Linked DNA regions of Notamacropus eugenii. The protein of the gene in region 2 interacts with the protein of the main gene of each other region in a biochemical or structural test. Links are inferred from orthologs where the notes say so. Each region holds a gene or a part of one and is shown on either strand. Other genes may lie near its edges.

Region 1 (9,736 bases), about 460 Mb from region 2:
AGGGTTCAAATCTCAGCACTACTGCTACCTATGTGACACTTCTTTCTAGCATCAATTTTCTCATCTATAAAATGAGGGAGTGGGGCAGACAAGGTGAACTCAAAGGTCCTTCCAGTTCTAAAATCCTATGGTTCCAACTGCAGGTCTCAGGGACATTATGACCACACCCAGGGACATCCTATGACAGCCTAGATAAGCATTATTTCACCAGCAGCCAAGAAAGTCCATCTGTCCCAGGAAATCTCCTTCTTACTACCTACCCTTGGGTCTCCCACTCTTGGTTTGGAGTCTTACCTGTTCCCAGATGTCAAACACCACGAGGGAAGCCTCTTCTCCATCCACCACAATGGATCGGTCATAGGTGTTCCCTAGGAATAAGACCGAGGTCCAGAAAACAAGGTCACTATTGGGACCTCATAGAGAGGGGGAAAGGCAATGTGTGCTAACGTTCTGTATGCAGCACAAGACCCCTGACCTCCCTCCCTCTGTCCCTATTTCCTTCTCATTCTTGTGTGAAATGGTTCCTTAATCTCCCTTCTCCTTTCTCCCTCTCCTCCCTTGTGTTTTCAATTATAAGCAAGACTTGAAAGCAATACCCACACACACACACACACACACACAATCATAGCCAGTCCCATAGCCTCCTCCCCATCTCTATTTCTCATAAATTGTTCCACTGTGAGGGCAGGCACCCTCTCTCTTTGTCTTTGTACCCCCAATGCCTAGCAAATAGTAGGTACTTAAAAATGCTTGTTGAATTGGATGAGTTCCCTAACCTCCTTATCTGTCCCCTTGTTTCCAATTACAGCACTGCCCTTAACCTCTTTATCCATCCCTGTTTTCCATTATTGCTAGATCTCTAAACTCCTTATCTATTCCTGTTTTCTGTTATAGCTGAATTCTTAAACTCCCCATCCAGCTCCCTGTCCCTCTGTTGCTTATTATAGCTGGACCCCTAACCTCCCATCTATCCATCTGTTTTCTGTTACACTTGGACCCCTAACCTCCCTGCCCCCATCCCTTTTCCTTATTATTCCCACGATCCTTGCCACTGTTACTGATGATACATGGTGTCACATGCAAGTAATGTAAATACACTCTGTCATATGAAGTCCAGCCGCTTTTCATTGTTCCAGTGTGATACATAGTGAATGATACAAGTTATCAGCCCCTACTTCTCCCTAGGACAATGGAAGCACTACTTATTTGGCTAGACCCAATGCCATCTCTGCTTTATGGATCAAGAATTTCCTGGGTTCTCAGAATTATTCCTCCCACTGTGGCCTACTGAGACCTCAAGAGGAAAGCATAGGATCATAGATTAAAAACTAGAAGGGACTTCACAAGTCTAAATAACCCCTTCAATTTTCAGATGAGGAAACTGAGGCCTGGAAAAGTTAAATGACTTCCTTAGGGCCATAAAACTATTAAGTGTCTGAGTCATGATTTGAGTTCAGGTCTTCCTTAACGTCAAGTCTAGCAGTGTTCCATCTACTATGCTAATCTGGCTGTGGTCTGGGCTAGCCTGGCCTGGACGATTAGTTCAAAGACTGAGGGCCCCCCATTAAAGCATGAAGAAAAGGTTCTGCCAGCCCAAGTGGTAGAGAGTTGTTGTGTTCAATTGTATCTGACTTTTGGTGTTTTTCTTTTTGAGGTTTTCTTTTCAAAGATACTGGAGTGGTTTGCCATTTCCTTCTCCAGCTCATTTTACAAATAAGGAAACTGAGGTCAACAGAATTAAGTGACTTGTCCATGGTCACACAGCTAGTAAAAGTCTGAGGCTGGATTTGAACTCAGGAAGATGACTCTTTTGCCCAGTAGAGAGTATAGGCTGGTCTAAACTTAAGCGGACAATGTCCCCATACTTCATGAAGGCTGCTACCCCTTCTCCTTCCCCAGTAACTGGAAAGTCGCAGCTACTGACTTATACTAGGCTGAGCTGGCTGAACCTGTAATACCCTTAGCCTCTTCCACCAAATCCTATCTGCTGGTGTTGTAGCCTTCAGGAAAGAGTCCCATGGTCAGAAATGGAGACTCAACCCCACTAAACTTACCCAGGAAGACAATGGAAGGCAGCAGCCTGTAACCATGGATCTCTTTGAAAAGGTACAGTGGAAAGATCTAGCAATCAGTCAACAAGCTTTTATTAAGAATAATGAATTTGGAGTCAGAAGACCTCAGCTGAAATCTTGTCTCTTCCTTTACTGTCATTATGAACTTAGACAAATCACCTTTTCCTCTCTGGGCCTCAGTTTCTTGATCTGTCAAAGGAGGAGGCTAGACTAAATAATCCCTGAGGTCTCTTTGTTGTTGTTCGTCCTACGTTCTCAAAGAGTGCTCTATAAACTCTAAATTCTATGACTCCAGACTCCAAAGTGTGAGCTCATGAGACTATCAACAACACCCTGGACATCATTTTAGTCCCAAAGCCTGGGTCTGTGGACACCTGGGAGTAGGGTGGATTTTGTCATTCTCTCCTTCACTCCAAGAAGGTTAGAGATACTTCCCCCTCTCCCTACCCTGTCCTGCAGCCTCAGCCTCCCTAACAGAAGAATGGACAGACAGATGGATGAACTCAAACAAAGCTCATCCACAACCCACAAGTTTATCTTCTTCCATCTCTTTTGTCTCCTTAGAATTCCAGAATGCCACACCCAGGAGCCACCTGAAACCTGTCTAGAGACCATTCTAGGTCCACCCCTTCTGTTTAGAGAGTACAAACTCAGGACCAGAGAAAGGTCCATTTGTCAAAGGTCCTTCAGTAACTTCATTGCAGAGATGGAATTCAAATCTGAGTTTTCTGCCACCAAGTCCAGCCTCCCTTCCAACAGCATTTCCCTCACTCCATTAAACACATCATTCTTTTCTCCCTTTTCCCATAATCTCAGAGTGGGAAGGGACTAAGGCAACTCTTGACCTCTCTCTACCTGATCGGAAATCTCCTTTATAGGATCCCTAGCAAATGGCCAGCCAGCCTTTACATGAAGACTTCCCAGAGATCTCCCTCTTTCCTCTCCCCTCGATCCTTCCCATCTTAATTCAATCAACAAGCACTTGGCCTGCTAAATGTAGACATTACGCTAGGCTCTGGGATTAAAGACCAAACCAGTACCAGTTCCTGCCCTCCAGGTGCTTAAAATCGTAACTCTTTTTTCTCATTCTCTCCAAGTCTTCTATCCCAATACTTTTTCACCCTCTCCTCTAACTCTCCTCTGTTCGGTCCCTCCAGCCCCCCCGGCTCAGCTCTTCTCTCCTCGGTTCCTCCCCAGTCTTGCCCGCTCTCTCCTGGCAGTGATTCTTACTCACCAGCGGCCTCGGCTTCAGGGCCGTCCTCGACGCCGCCAAAGATGCGTGCCAGGCTGGTTTTGCCCACCCCGCGCTCGCCCAGAAGTATCACCTTGTACAGGTGGCTGTCGGACTCGCTGCCTGAAGATGTTAGGGAGTCGGAGGAGCCCGAGGCCCAGCAATCGCTGGGTTCCCGGGGGCTGCAGGAGGGGCGCCGCACCAGGTTGGACAGCTGGCCCAAGGGACCAGAGGGCAGCGCCGCCTGAAAGTCTCGCTCGTCCACTGGCATGCTACGGCGATGCAGGTGCTGCTGAATAAGGAAGGGCGTGCTTCCCCGACGACGGTCCCCGCTGCGCCGCTGAGCTCCACGATTCAGAGTCATCGTATGCGCTGTCTGTAACAGACTGGCTGGAGGGGACCAGGCCGAAGAAGCGGAGAGGAAAAAAGAGGAAAGGGCCACGTTGAGCTGGGAGGTGCCTATTCACCGACCCCGACCTCGGGGCTGCCCCGAGGCAGTTCCTGCTCCCTGCCAAGATCTCAGATCTGGCCATCCCTCTCCCCCCGCCGAGCCCCGCCCCCCATAGGCACTAGACACCCCAGTACCACTTCTGGATCCGTCGGGCAATGTAGCCCCAGTCAGACCGCAGGGCCATTTCGGGCTCAGTCCATCCCCGACACACACACACACACACACACACACACACACACACACACACACACACACACACACACACACCCGACAGACACACCCACGCATACCCACACGCGCGCGCGCGCACACACACACACACACACACACACACACACACACACACACACACACACACACACACACACACACACACACCTGAGAACTAGTCTGGGTTCAGTACACACCCCTTAGTTGTCGGGACCGTTCCCGATCCTTCTAGGATCCCAGATCCCTACTCGAAGATCCCAGGCCACCAAACTGAACGAATGTCTCTGTCCTACACCAAACCCTGGCACCAGGGCACCAGCGGGCAAGGTAGAGGCTCTGGGAATCTACCCTCCCTCCCCAGCGAGGCCGGGATCTCCGCGATACTCACCTCTCGTAGGGACTGACACACGGACTCAGATTCGGATTCCGATCCCGGCAGACTCTCTCCTCCAGTTGCCTCCGCCTCTGCTCGGGCTAATCTCCCGGAGAGCCCCAGCACCGCCTATTTATGTCCCGGCTCGGGCGCGCGAGTCCAGACCCGCCCCCTGTCCTTCCTCTTCCTCCATCCCTCTTTTCTCTCCCTCCCCCTCCTTGGCCTCCCCTTCCCCAGGCTTTGCCAGCTCAGACTCAATCCCCAGAGGGAGGGGGTGGCAGCTGGCGGGGGTTGGGAGGACTGACGTGTTCGTACTTAGCCCTGACCTGAGGGGAAATCCTGGAGAGAAGCACCCCCCCGGTCCCCAAGCCTCTGGATTCCAATCCCAGCAACGCCACTAACTAGCTGTGTCACCGCCCCTCCTTGAGCCTCAGTTTCCTCATCTGTTAAATGAGAAGGAGTGGGGCGGGGTGTGCACTTGATGTTTTCTAAGACTCCTTCCTAACTCCAGGGAGTTGTTCCAAGGTGGAGGGTGGAGGTGGGGGCAGCTAGCGTCTACAACCCTGGACGGGTCAAAACGCGGGACCCTTCTAGCGCGGACCTGGGGCACGCGAGGGACACCCATTATGTATAAGAGACTCAAAATGGGAGGGATCCCTTCCACTCCTTGGGCTCCTGCCTCGCTTTCACCTCCCGTAGAGGGAAGCCCGTTTCCAGAGATCAGACACTAAGGGCAAGGGTGCAGGTCAGTGTTTTGGAGAGCCTGGTAGGTAGAGGGTGGAGGTGGGTGGAGGGAAGTAAGAAAGGAGCGTCGAATTGGAGGCATCCAGCTGACTGAGAAAAAGGATTCTTACCACTCCAACAACAGTATTGGTCTCTTAGTCCAGCTCCCAGCCCCCGGCTCCCAAAGAAGTCCTGTGGATAGATAAAGCAGATCACCCTTGTAATTTCCTACCAGTCCAAGTCCTCCTCAACCCCACAAAACAAGGTTTCCAGGGCCAGTGTATTGAGTGGGGAGGAGATCTGTGGAGGAGTCAAGGGTGCCGGATTTGAATTCTGCCCCTGTCATTACTATTTGGCCTTGGCTAAGACATTTTCCTTTATGGGGTCTTAGTGACCTTTTCTAAAAAAAATAAGGGGCTTGAACTGTCTAATCTAGAAGAGATTTCACGTCTAATCTTGGTTCAATTTATCTTTCTTTTTCTTTCTCGTCCTTCTTTCTTTCTTTCTCTTCCTCCCTCCCTCTCTCCCTTCCTTTCTTCCTTCCTCCCTCCCTCCCTCCCTCCCTTCCTTCCTTCCTTCCTTCCTTCCTTCCTTCCTTCCTTCCTTCCTTCCTTCCTTCCTTCCTTCCTCCTTCCTTCCTTCCTTCCTTCCTTCCTTCCTTCCTTCCTTCCTTCCTTCCTTCCTTCTTTCCTTTCCTTCTTTCTTTCTTGTTCATAATCAGGATTAAGTGACTTGCCCAGGGTCACAGAGCTAGAAAATCTCTGAGGTCATAATTTGAGCTTCAGGGGCTGGTGCTCTAGACATCTAGCTGCTGGTATCTAGGTTCAGTTTCAAGAAACCCCTAGGGCCTCTGGAGAGTTGATTTAGGGAAGGATTTAAGGTAGTTTTAAGGATTATTCCTTTTAGGAGAGGGACTGAATTGCCATCTCATCAATGACTTTCTCTTGCAATATAAAGTCTTAGGGACTTGAATAGTGGTGGTGTCAGACTCAAATAGAGACCATCCCTGAGGACTGCGTGTTGACTTGGACAACCACAAATTAACATTATCTATGTTTTATTGTATTTTAAAATGAATTTTGTCAAACATTTCCCAATGACATTTTAACCAGATTAGGGCAGCACTGGGGACTTAGATGCTGAGAAGTTAAGGAACTCTCTCAAGACCACAAAGCATGTGTAGGATTTGAACTCAGGTTTTCCTGGTTCTGAGGTCATCTCCCATTCGAGCCAGGAAACATTTATTAAGCACTTCCTCTGAACTGACTGGACTCTGTGGAAATAACAAAGACAAAACAGTTCCCGAATCCCTGTCCTCAAAGACTTTACATGAACAAGAGGGAAGAGATAATAACACAGGCCTTAATATGTGTGATACATGGTCATTTAAGGACTGCTGAGGGGCCTAATAGAAAAAGTATTGTATGTGGAGTCAAAGGACCTGGGCTTCTGGGTCTGAATCCCTCCTCTTCCATTCATTATTGTTCCTCAATTTCCTCATCTGTAAAAAACTAGAGGGGTTGACCCTCTGAGATCCATTCCAGACCCAGATCTTTGATCCTGGGCATTTGAGGAGGGAGAAAGGACTAATAAATTACTGGAAGGTCAGGGAGGGCTTCAGAAAGGAGGTGGCACCTGAGCTGAGGCATGGACAAGGGTAAGGATTATCCAAGGTGGGGTTGGGGATGAGTATATGGGGGCTGACGCTCATAGTGTTGGGAAATGGGGTGAACTTGTTGAATGGCTAGTTGTAGAGCTTGGCCAGGTTGTGACTCAGACTGTGGAGGGTCTAAAATGCCAGTCTGAGGGAATTTCCATTGTGTCCTGGAGCCAATGGGGAGCCATTGAAGGTTTCTGAATGGATTTTCTTATCTGTGCTTTGTAGTAGGAGGATCATTTTGGCAGTTGCATAGAGGATAGGTTGGAGTGGGGAGGGAATTGAGGAGAGAGAGAGCATATATTGTGTAGGAGACTCCTCCAGGCAGAGATGGTGAGGTCCTGAAGTATGGTGGTGACTCAGTGGGTAGAGAAGAGGAGATACAGGCCACAGATGTTATGGAAAAACTGATGCTTGTATACCTTCTGAGGAGCCAGAGATTTTCTGGGATGGAGGGTGAGGAGTAGGGTTTCAGCCTCACCTTAAAAATGGGAGCTGAGTAAGCATAGGGCCCCCATTGTGGAGATTCAGAGAAATAATGATTTCCCTCTTTGGATTAGAGGGTGGTTGAGCAGGGATGCCAAGAGGACAGTGATTTAAGGAGCAGGGGCAGTTGGATGGCCCAGTTGATGAGTACTGGGCCTGGAGTCAGGAAGACCTGAATTCAAATCTAGTCTCAGACATTTACTAGCTGGGTGATTCTGGGTAAGTGATTTAACCTTGTTTGCCTCAGTTTCCTTATCTGTGAAATGAGCTGGAGAACGAAGTAGCAAACCACTCCAGTATTTTTACCAAGAAAACCCCAAAAAGGTCAGACACAACTGAAAATGTCTAAACAACAAATTAAGGAACAAGAAGGTCTCCTTACGCCAATGTATCATTCTCCCTCCACCATCCCTCAATATTGTTAGTCTGAAATCCCCTATGATCGACCTCTTCCTCATTGGAAGAAGTAACACATTATAGGATTATAGTATTTAGAGTTGGAATGGATCTTGGAGTTCCCCTAAGAAGGGATCTAGTTAGAGTTCTTTTTATAGCTGAGATCCAGAGAGATGACTTACCCAGGGTCGTACTGGTAGGAAAGGGCAAATCTAGGATTTGAATCCAGGTCAATGCTCTTTCGATGAACACCTTACAAGGTCTGGTTTCTTCATCCTTTTCAGTTGGGTGCTCTGTCGAGCCATAATGAAAGCAAGAAGGGGTAGTTTTCATAGGGCAGAAAAGAAAGAAAAGTTGGGAGCAGAAGTGGGGGAGGAGAAGCTGGGAGCAAATAGGCCTGGGTATTCTCTGTGCCATGGCCCTGATGCCTTGAGGGAAAGCGAAAGGAGATGGATCATCACAACCTCCTGACTTTACAGCACCTGGGTTTGGGGTCTCCCTTAGCAGTTGTCTCCCAGGACCCCCAATGTAATGAGAATTTACATTTCTATAGTGCTTTAAGGTTTACAAAATATACTCCTTATAATAACTCTGAGGTAGAGAGTGCAGCAGTTATTAAGTCTATGATCCTATAATTTCCATTTTACAGATGAGAAAATTGAGTCTCGGAGAGGAGAAAGGGACTTCTAGTATCATAGGATCATAGGATTTAGAGCTAAGGAGGGACCTTAGCCAGTATCTGGGCTTAACTCCTAATTTTACAGAGAAGGAAGAAAGGTGAAATGATTTCCTCCAATACACATAACACTTACAGCTGGGATTTGAACGTGTGCCTTTGTATTTCTGATCAGCCGCCCCACCCTCTCTTTCCTCTTCGCCTGCTCAGTTTTCTGGGCCTTTGCCCACACAGAGCTGATACAGGCAACTGGGCTAAAAATATCCTCTCCTGTCCTCCTCTCTCCTCCCCCATCTCTGTCCTGGGGGGTCCAGCTGGCCTTCCCCAAGCTTCCTGGATGCTGAGCTCATGAGGACATTTTGGTAAATCTGGCCTAGACATTGAACCAGTTGGGCCCTGACCCCATGACTGGCCAAATGGGGCTCATGTTGCATTGTTTGTTGGCCCCAGGATCTAGCTTGGCCTCTCTCCTTCTGTTTCTTTCTCCTAGGAGAAAAGATCTGTACTTGGGATCCCAGCCTCCTATCTTGTGCCTCCTGGGAACTGCTAGGAAGAAGAGGAGAGCTTGGGAAATAGTCACACATAAAGATTTGAAAATCACTTCATATTCCATTTATTTAGAATAGGACTATAGAATACATTGATCAATCAGCCAACAATTATTTATTGAAGTGACTACTATATGCCACACTACTATATGCCACTATAGGGATAGTGGAGAGAGAACCTGCTTAGGAGTCAGAAAGAATTGAATTAAAGTCCCTCCACTGACATACATTTAAAGTCTCAGTGCTCCAGGCAGCTCTCTGAGGTTGGGGTCTACCTTAGGAGAGAGAATTCCTTCCCTGGGAGTTCCCTATACTCATGAAATCACAGGTTCATTTTTTTAAGTGCTAGGCAATGGGTATTTACTGGGAGGGGAGGGGAGGGATATGTACATACGTAAATATCTATATCTATCTATCCATCCACACACATATGTATAGATAGAGATTCTAAATTTGGGGGAGAGGACACTAGCATCTGGTAGATCAGGAAAGGTTTTGTTTAGAAGATGGTATTTTGTCTGAGCCTTGAAGGAAGCTAGGGATTCTAAGAGTCAGAGCTGAGAAGGGAGGGCATTCCAGGCTCAAAAGACAGCTAATATAAAGCAATGGAGACAGAAGAGGAAGGATTTTGTGTAAGGAATACAAGACCACCAATTTTGCAGGACCATGGAGTGCAGGAAGGGGAGTGATATAAAAAAGCTGGAAAGGTAGGTTGGGGTCAGGATGAAAAGACCTTTAAATGTCAAACAGAGGAGTTTATATTTGGTTCTAAGGCAATAGAGAACCACTGGAGTTTATTTGGCAGTTGTGTTGAGGATGGATTGGAGAGGGCAAATATAATGAAAACAGGGAGACCAATTAGGAAGGTATTTGACAGTCCAGGTGAGCTGTAATAAGGCTTCAGAGAGGGTAA
Region 2 (8,985 bases):
ATTCCACTGGAACTACCCAATGAACATCCCTTCCTCCCTAAGTTCCTAGTCAGGATATCCTCCCTCTTGGCATCTGTGCCAATCATAATGGACTGGTTCTCTAAATTCTTCTGCTCCACAGATTCTTGGCACACTCACACCTCCAGGGCATAGTCCCCATCTGGGCATGACAGTCTCAAGAGAGAACAACATGGTACCCTAGCTCACATTCCTACAGAAACTACCTCTTTTTCTAAGGGGGGAAAAAAATAAAGCCTGGTTCAAAATGTATTCTGGCTTGAGTCCCCAGGGCTTAGGGGTGAAAGTACTGGTTTAGCACAGTTTATAAGAGATAAAGAGGAAAGAGGCAAGGGACCAGAAAGAGACATTCCTCTACCACCTCAGGGCAGCTGGGGGTGGGGATGGAGAGGGAGAAAAGGGATGAAACTCCATTCCAAATCAGGTGAAAGAGAGCTCCCCCAAATCAGATCTATCAGCATAACACTCAACTCCTGGCTGTCCTTCCCTTCCCCAGCTCCTGGACAAGAAGAGGGCACTGTCAAGAGGAGAGAGGGACATTGCATCATCAACTGGAGACACCAGACACCAGGGTCCCATTTCTGAGGGCGCTAGGACTTTGCTGTGGGTTTCTAGTGAGTGATGTATCCATTCCCAGGACAGAGAGTGTCTGCAGGGGGAGGAAAGGGGGAGGGGAGAGGAATGAAACAGTGTTCCTATCCCAGCCCACACTGCCCCGATGGAGGGTAGGAGGGCACCCTGGCCACCCACATGTTTCTATGGCAACCATCACCCTGGAGCCAAGATGCCCAAACAGAAAAGAAACCAATGAACAAGTGAACTTGGTAGCAGATGCTCAGGGCCAAGAAAGGGATGGAATATGGGATGTGAACAAGAGAGCCTGACAAACCCCACACCCGAGGACCATTCCCTTCTACAGAACCCCACCACTAGAAGGCAAACTGTCCCTGCTGCAAGCCCCGAGGAAGCTCTGTGCTTCCTTAGAATTAACTGAGTCCAAGAACATTCCTTTTTCTGTTTCTCACAGCCCTGGGATGCTGACAACACTGGGGGTACAAAGGCAACAATGAAACCATCCTGCCCTCAAAGAGCTTACAATTCTACTCAGGCAATCTCAGAGCTCCCCATTCCCTAGGATAGCAATTACTCATCCTGATGTGGTGCTTTAAGGCTTACAAAGTCCCTTCTGTACTCGTGAGCCTTGCAACAGTCTGATGAGCTAGGTCACTACAGCATTATCGTTCCTATTTTACAGATGAGACTTAGAGGAAGTTGAGTGACTTCCCCTCAGTTGTATAACCAAGTGTCAGCACCAAGATTTGAACTCAGATCTCTCAAGCACAAGCCCAAGTATTCTTTGCACTAGAACCCCTCTATGCAGCCCATTTGGGGTGCCATTCCTGTGGTGCCTTATATAATTCAGAGCACCCTCCTCTACTTCTCCTGCCTCACAGCTATATACTGAAGTCCTCATCACACCCCATCCACTCCTTCACTGTATCTATTCATGTACCAATCACTCATACTTGGATGGCCACACAAGTCTGATGCCAGGAAGTTGGTATATCCCGAAGGTGAGATTAGAGGTGGAACTGTTCAGGGGAGAGAAACAACAATTAGACCTTGTCTTCTCTGGCCTTTGAAGTCAGGCCCCCTGCTTTGGACAGCTGCAACCCCTCTGACCCAGGGCATCAGGTGCATTCTCTTTCTCATGTTCATGAAGCAACCAACCTCCGCCCAGGAGAGATTGCATCTGCGTCTGCATCACTAACTTGGTAATTTGATCAAAAAAAAGCAATCCAGTTCATCTGGCAGGATTTGTTCCCGAAGAGTCCTCGCCAATACCAGCCTCCCCTGATGTTTACAGATTTTTTTCCCCTTGGGAGTCTATTTGGCTGCCTGGTGGGCAGGGGGAGGCAAGCAACCATCCAGGCTTCTCATTTACTGCAGTTCCAACCCAAGCACAAGTTGGGAGGGGGAAGGATTGTGTGTGGATAGGACAACTCTACATTCGCTCATTCGCTGCCTTTGACTTCAACAAATCCATCTCAGGTGGGACCTTTCCTCACATTCACCAAATTAGGGGATTGCTGCTTTGCGCTACATGAAACTACATTTCTCCAGCAAAACTGGCAGTTAATGCCACTCTTTCTCCACCTCAAGGGACCAAAGTCCCCATTTGTCAGAGTCTTCAGCTACCCCAGTCATCCTTGTGAGAACAACCCACCATCTCTTCCATCCCAAAGGCCCCTGGGCCTCTCCTGCCTAGACAGAGTAGCTCTCTGTACCAGTTCCCCTGAAAGTCACATCTATTCCAAGTTCCAATAATCTCCTCTTAGTACCACCAACTTCTGCCCCACCATTAAATGCATGAGTCCAGACATCTCACTCTGTCAGGGGATAAAGATCAAGATCAACCAAGTTACAAGTATTTATTAGGGACATACTATGTGCCTCACACTGTGCTGGGATATACAGACAGAAGTGCATGAATCTTGCCTTCAAGGAGTTTTCATCCATCCACACTCACCTCGGGCTGATAGCTTCTTGGTGTTAATAATTTTTGCTGCATACTCCTGAGTGGAGGTTTTCTTAACACATCTTCGGACCACAGAGAAAGCCCCCCTAGAAAGAGAGGAGAGCAAGAACTGGGACAAAGACCCGAGTAGAGTGATAAATATTTATACCTGATCTCACAACCACATGAATTGTCCTCCATTCCCAGATTCTAGATCAGAATGACCCCCACCTATAACCACAGTCATTCACTCCTGACAGTGACTCCCCCAACCCTAGAACAGGTTGACCCCCCCCCCATCTAATGGCACTGCCACCTAAGCATTCATGAAAAAAGCAACATGATTTAGACTTATGATAAAAAGATATTTCCCTCCACCCTGTCCCTTTATCTGACCCTGGGACAAAGAAACAACTCAGACTTCAGGCTCACAGGTGTGGGATTGGTGGGAAATGTTCCTATCACACACCTGATGCATTCAGAGCTACCCTGCATTCCAGGGGAGAAGTGAAGAGTGAGGGGCAAAGGTACCCTCTCCTACTCATAGCACTCATACTTGGGAACCACAGGAAATTTGGGAGGTAGAACTCCCTAAAGAAGGCATCATCTCCCTCATCCATGGGAGGAATAAAGCTTTAGCATCAGGGGAGGAGCGAGAAGCCCACGGCCGCTCAGAGCCTTGGGGTCCCACCACATCCCACAAAAAGAACAGCCTCCAGTCTAGGCGAGCAGCAGGGAAAGGGAAGGAGAGCCCTGGGGAGGGGGGCAGGAGCCCCAGCTGTCAAGGGCAGGGCTGCAAAGTCTCTCCCTTCCTTCTCCCTTTCCCCTCCCGCCCCCCCCCCCCCTCCCGAGTCAGCCCTCCAGCTCTCGATGCCCAGCTCCCCCCGGCTGGGTGTACAGGCTGGGGGGCAGGGCGGGGGCTGCAGTGGCCAGGTTGGGGGGGCGGGGAGGGGAGTCTGGGGCTGCAGCAGCGGCCGGCGCTGCTCGGTGCCGTGCGGAGGGGAGGGGGATGCTGCGGCTGCGGCGCGCGGCTCCCGGGACCACTGCAGGGAGGGGGGGGGCGGGAAGGAAGGGGGGGCTGCAGCAGCGCCCAGCGGCGGGGTCGGGATCCGGGAAGCCGGGGGCGGGGCCGGGCGCCGGGGCAGCCCCCCGACCCGGGCACCGGCCGCGGGGTCCGGCTCGGACAGGGTGTGACCAAGGTCGGAGAGCCCGAGGGGCCGGAGCGGGCCGGGGGCGTGGCCGGGGGAGCCCGGCAGCGGCCGGGGGGCTGCAGTCGGCCGCATGCAGCGCGAGGCTCCGCTCCGGCCGCAGTGGCCGGAGCCGGCCGGGGAGGGGCCGGGGGCGCCGCGCGGGGAAGGGGCGCCGCACCGCCGGGCTGCAGCGGGGCCGGTGCGGGGCGGGGGGCGGGGGGAGGAGCCGCAGGAGCGCCCGGGGCGGGGGAAGTCCGGGCCGTACTTGCCGAGCTCTTCGTAGAGCTGGTAGTCGTCGGTGAAGCGGGTGCAGGGGGCGGTGGTGGCCATGCTGGCGGGGCGGGCACGGCTGCGCTGCCCGCTCCGATCTCAGTGCACAGTCACCGCCGCCCGGCCGAGGGGGAGCAGGAGGAGGAGACGGGGCTGAGCCCAGCAGCACCGCGAGACTTTACCGGGGAGCGAGGCGGGGAGGGACACCCCCGCTGCCCGCCCCCAGCCCGGCCCGCCCGCCCCCGGGGAGGGGCTTCTCACGGGCGCCCCGCCCCGGCCCGCCCCGGCCGGCCAGCCGCCTGCCCAGCCCGGGCACCCGAGGACCCACGACCCGGGGCGGGGAGGGGGCGGCCCGGGACGGAAGGATGCAGGGCGGGGGCCTGCACTGACCCAGCAGCCGCCCCACGGTCAAGGTCCCGAGAAGCGGAAGGGAGGGTGACCCCAGTGTCCTTCTCAGGGGTCTGGGCAGCACCGAGGAGTCCGGCATGGAGGGGTGGGGGTGGAGACAGAGAGCTGCCGGCCCATGCCTCTGTGACGGAGGCCTTGACACAGGGCCCTAGACAGTGACTCCTAAACAGACCCCCCCCCCCGGGGGGCCCCCAAACCTAGCCCCTTCGGGCAGATGGGCAGATGCACAGAGGGTCCCGTCTCTCTCCAAATAGGGCCCCTGCACCGCCAGGGATGCAGAAGAAAGACCTAGTACAGAATCCCAGCCCTGACATTCAAGAGAGTCTGTTCTCTCTGGGCCTCGGTTTCTTATTCGACTACATAACGTCTCAGGTTCCTTTTAGCTCTAAAAACCATGATCTTATGTGGAAAGAGGGCTACTGCAGTTGGAGGCAGAGGACCTGAGTTCTAATTCTGTCTCTACCACTTCCTTCTTTGCCTTTTCTTAACCTCAGTTTCCTAACCTGTAAAATGAGATTGTGCTAGATGACTCAAGATCCCCTTCAGCTTTAAGGCAATCATATGATCTTCAGATAGCATAATGGATGAGAACTCAAGCTTAGGAACCTGCCAAGAAACAGATCTAAGGCAGCAAGCAGTTCTTGGCTCAAGGAGATGACACCAACTCAAAACCAAGTTTAGGATTAGCTAGGAACACCCCAGAGTGGCAGGATGTTAGAGCCAACTTTAGAGCTCATCTGGCCAAACCTTCCTCATTTGGAGGAGGAAACTGAAGCCCTGAGAAGGTGAATAAAATAACTTTGGAGAGGGTTAAACCTTGAGTCCGGAAGACCAGAGTTTGAAACTCCCTTAGATGTTTATTAGCTGGGTGACCCTGGGCCAGTCACCTAATCACTGAGTTAAGTTCCTTGTTTGTAAAAGGAAGATAACCATAGCACTTACATCACCGGATTGTTGTGAGGATCAAATGAAATTATGTAAAATGCTTTGCAGAACATAAAGTACATTGGTGTTGTTTGTTGAGGTGACAGAGCTGGATTTCAAACCCAGCCTCTCCTGACTCTGTCTCCAGAACCCATGTTTAATTCAAATTTGACCAGAACCAAGTGAAATACCTTACCTTCCATGGATAGGAAGAAACATCACCCAAACCTCAAAGACAGATGAATGACCCCTCTCTACCCAGCTTGGTGACAGACACTAAAGAGAGAGATGAGAAGGTAGGAGAGTTGAGCCTCTGGGGTGTATCTGGCCTGGAAGAGCAGGTAAAAGGGAAGGATTAGCATTTCCATCCTCCTTTGGCCAGATCCCAGGGTACCTCCTCCTCCTTCCAGCTCGTGAGAAACATACCAACTGCTTTGCTTTTCTTCCTTCCCGAAGGTTTCCCCTACCTCCATGGGGGGGGGAGGGGGCTCGTAAGCAGGGCACAGGGGCATAGCTGTCCCGGAGCAAGAACTGGCCAGGCAGGTTCCAGACCTGCCCAGACAGCTGCATGCTCACCTAGGCTTGGGGCCGGAGACAGCTGAGCAGGGCTGCAGTGTGCTCTCACTCTCACTGCGGCTGAACAGACTTGATTACACCAGGACACCCACTGGGACTCGGCTGAGCTGGGTTTCATCCAGTTATCAGTCGGGCTCCTCCAGGGAGCCGGTAGAGAGAATCCATCACCATAGTCTCATTTCCAGGTCTAGCCTGGGGAGGCTGGGAGGGGAAAAGGTGGACACTTTTATCACAGAACTGCTGATAAGAGCATGAAGTGGTGGGGGAGGGGGAGGACTTTGTTGAACTGGGGGAGTCAAAAGATCTGAATTATAGCTGTGACGCTGCCACCAGGGCACTGTATTTATCGGTAGGGATGGGATCTCTGATTTCGTTGGTATAGGTGAACCTATTTCTACCAGTACAAGAAACCTAGAGTTTTGTTTGTTTGGGGGATGCAGTGGGGATCAAGTGACTTGCCCAGGGTCACACAGCTAGTAAATGACCAAGGCTGGTGCTTTATCCACTTCACCACCTAGCTGAACTATGATTTATAGTTTTAAAGAGCTGCCCATAATGCAGAGAAATTAAGTGATATGCCCAAGGCCACACAGTTTATAGGTGTCAGAGGAGGGGGAATTGAACCCAGGTCTTCCTGACTCCAAGGCCAGCTTTCTATACATCAGGCTTTCAAATAGAGGCCAAGTCAGATTGGATTTGAAACTATATATATCTTCAGAGTCACAGTTTCAATCTGTTGTACCAGCCCCCCCCCCCCCATTTCACTGTCTGAACCTTAATTTCCTCCTGTGTAAAATGAGGGAACTGAATTACAAAGGGCCTTAGGAACGACTTATTAGCCAGAAATAGTCAGAGATCAACTGGTTTAGATGGTCCCTGGATTGGTGAGAAGGAAGAAGGGAATGGAGAAGAAAACCCTAGTGATCAGAGGGCAGGGTTTGGGACAAAGGTGAGGGACAATAAAACCCCACTCCACCCTTGCCTAAGGCAACCGGAAGTGCCGTTGTTGGGGAGTCAAAGCCACTTCCTATCTTAAGACATCAGAGTGACATCCAGGTGCCTTTATGGGGGGGGGGGCACAAATCCTAAAGGAGTTTGTGAGGAGGGAAGAGAGACTAAAGCTAAAGGTGTTTCAAGGTTTTTTTTTTCCAATTACTATGCATTCATTAGTTAGATAGATGAACCCAGCACCCGGTCTCAGCTCAGGATATGTTTATTCAGGGGAATAGCCATAGTTTTGTGGTAAATTACAGTTACAAAATATTTTACATATATGATGATTTTATCTAATCTTCACAACAGCCCTGGAAGGAGGTCAGGATTATGATCCACATTTTATAGATGAGGAAACTGAGGCTCAGAGTGGATATATGACTTAATCAAATACTGGTGGAACCCAAACTTGAAACAAGGTCTTCTGGCTCCAACCACCATGCTCTTTCCACTACACCCTAAGCGAGTGCCCCGACTAAGCAATCCACCATCAATTGTCATCAATTTTTAATTCTAGATTAAAATGCCTTAGTCCCTGTCCCCTAGGAGCTGATCCTGAAAGTTTTAAATTTATTGACATGAAATAAAGGGAAAACAAAGATGCAGGTGCGAGGCAATTCAGATGGGAACTGATAAAGGCTGGTTCTTGCACATCAAAGTAGTGAAATAGGTGGAAATCTTGGAGAGCTGGTGCCTCCTAAGGAGGCAAAGACTCATGGTTTCCATGGCTAGCCTGAGTCCTACACACCCCAGTGGTTCAGCCCAGACTCAAATCTAAAGACACTGATTGCTGGTCCAGTGTTTTCTCCATTCCCTTGCTATGAAAGATGTAGAAAGATGAAGGAGAGAGGAGACAGAAGAGCTCAACTCAATGTTTATAGCAAGTACTAAGTGCCAAGAGCTGTGTGCTAGACCCTAGGGAGATGAAGACAAATGTGCCTTTCACTGCCCTCAAGGAGCTTATATATACTAGAGAAATACAAATATGCAGGTAAATATATATAAGGTATGTGCAAGTTAATTTCACAAAAACCCCACTAACTACTGGTCAGAAAAGGCTTGGTGTAGGAGGTAGGTAGCCACAGGGCTGAGCCTTGAAGGACACCAGGGAGTCCAAGAGGTTGAGAAAGGGGTGTGCTGGTAAATGCTTAACAAATGGCTCTGTTGGGGATGGGGGGGAGTGTAAACTCGATACATTCTTAAATTTAATCTGCATTATTAATATTTTCCTCATCACTTTCTTAAGTCTAGACAATCAGCATAACAATAAATCACTTCTTGAATTGTATCATTTGCTGATTTCCAAGGTGTAAATGCTCAAGCTGAAAATTTAACAATGGCTCTATTAGAGCTGGCAGCAACATACCCCTGGGTTGAGGTTAGGGGAGAACATATTCTAGGCTATGATGGGCCCCTAAGTGGCATAGTGAATAGTGCACCAGGCCTGGAGTTAGGAAGACTGGAGTTCAAATCTGGCCTCAAACACCTACTAGCTGTGTGACCCTGGGCAAGTCGCTTAACCCTGTTTGCCTCAGTTTCCTCATCTGTAATATGAACTGGAGAAGGAACTGGCAAACCACTCCAGGATCTTCGCCAAGAAAACCCCAAATGGGGTCATGAAGACTTGGATACCACTGAAGAACAACACATGTACAAAAGATGAAGAAGGAGATGTAATATTGAGTGCATGAGCAGTTAGTAGGCCATTTTGGTTGGAATGTTAAGTGTGTGAAACTCAGTAATAGTAAATGAGATAGGAGCCAGACTGTGGAGAGCTTTCAGTGAAAGCTAGGCTGAGGGATTTCTATTTTGTTCTAAAGGCAACAGTGAGCCACCAGAGGTGTTTGAGCAGGGAGCTGACAGCTTCAGACCTATGTTTTAGGAATATTAATTTGGCAACTGAGTGAAGGAGAGACTGGAGAGAGGAAAAATGGGAAGCTGGAGAGTTGCAGGTAAAGCAATTTTTGGAGATAATTCTAAGTTGACAATAAGGCATTTGACAGTAAGTGCAGCTGTTATTATTTAAACAAAAACAATTTTCCAAATGGTGTGTGAGGAGTAGAGGGAGATATGAGTAGCAATGCATAA

What was found.
Region 1: of the proteins of CAMK2G (region 2) and RRAD, one has a biochemical effect on the other in vitro, tested with the Homo sapiens proteins (2 studies listed by BioGRID, with this or other methods). The link is inferred for Notamacropus eugenii from reciprocal best matches to the Homo sapiens genes CAMK2G and RRAD.

The regions. Positions count from the first base shown.
Region 1 is NC_092872.1:693,974,407-693,984,142, forward strand, and holds the start of RRAD (GTP-binding protein RAD), read right to left. Parts: upstream 4,475-9,736; 5' UTR 4,353-4,474; intron 3,694-4,352; 5' UTR 3,668-3,693; coding exon 3,307-3,667; intron 369-3,306; coding exon 295-368; intron 1-294. UniProt on the Homo sapiens protein: May regulate basal voltage-dependent L-type Ca(2+) currents and be required for beta-adrenergic augmentation of Ca(2+) influx in cardiomyocytes, thereby regulating increases in heart rate and contractile force.
Region 2 is NC_092872.1:236,561,059-236,570,043, reverse strand, and holds the start of CAMK2G (calcium/calmodulin-dependent protein kinase type II subunit gamma), read right to left. Parts: upstream 4,224-8,985; 5' UTR 4,057-4,223; coding exon 3,992-4,056; intron 3,366-3,991; exon of another isoform or gene 3,032-3,365; coding exon of another isoform or gene 3,006-3,031; intron 2,644-3,005; coding exon 2,549-2,643; intron 1-2,548.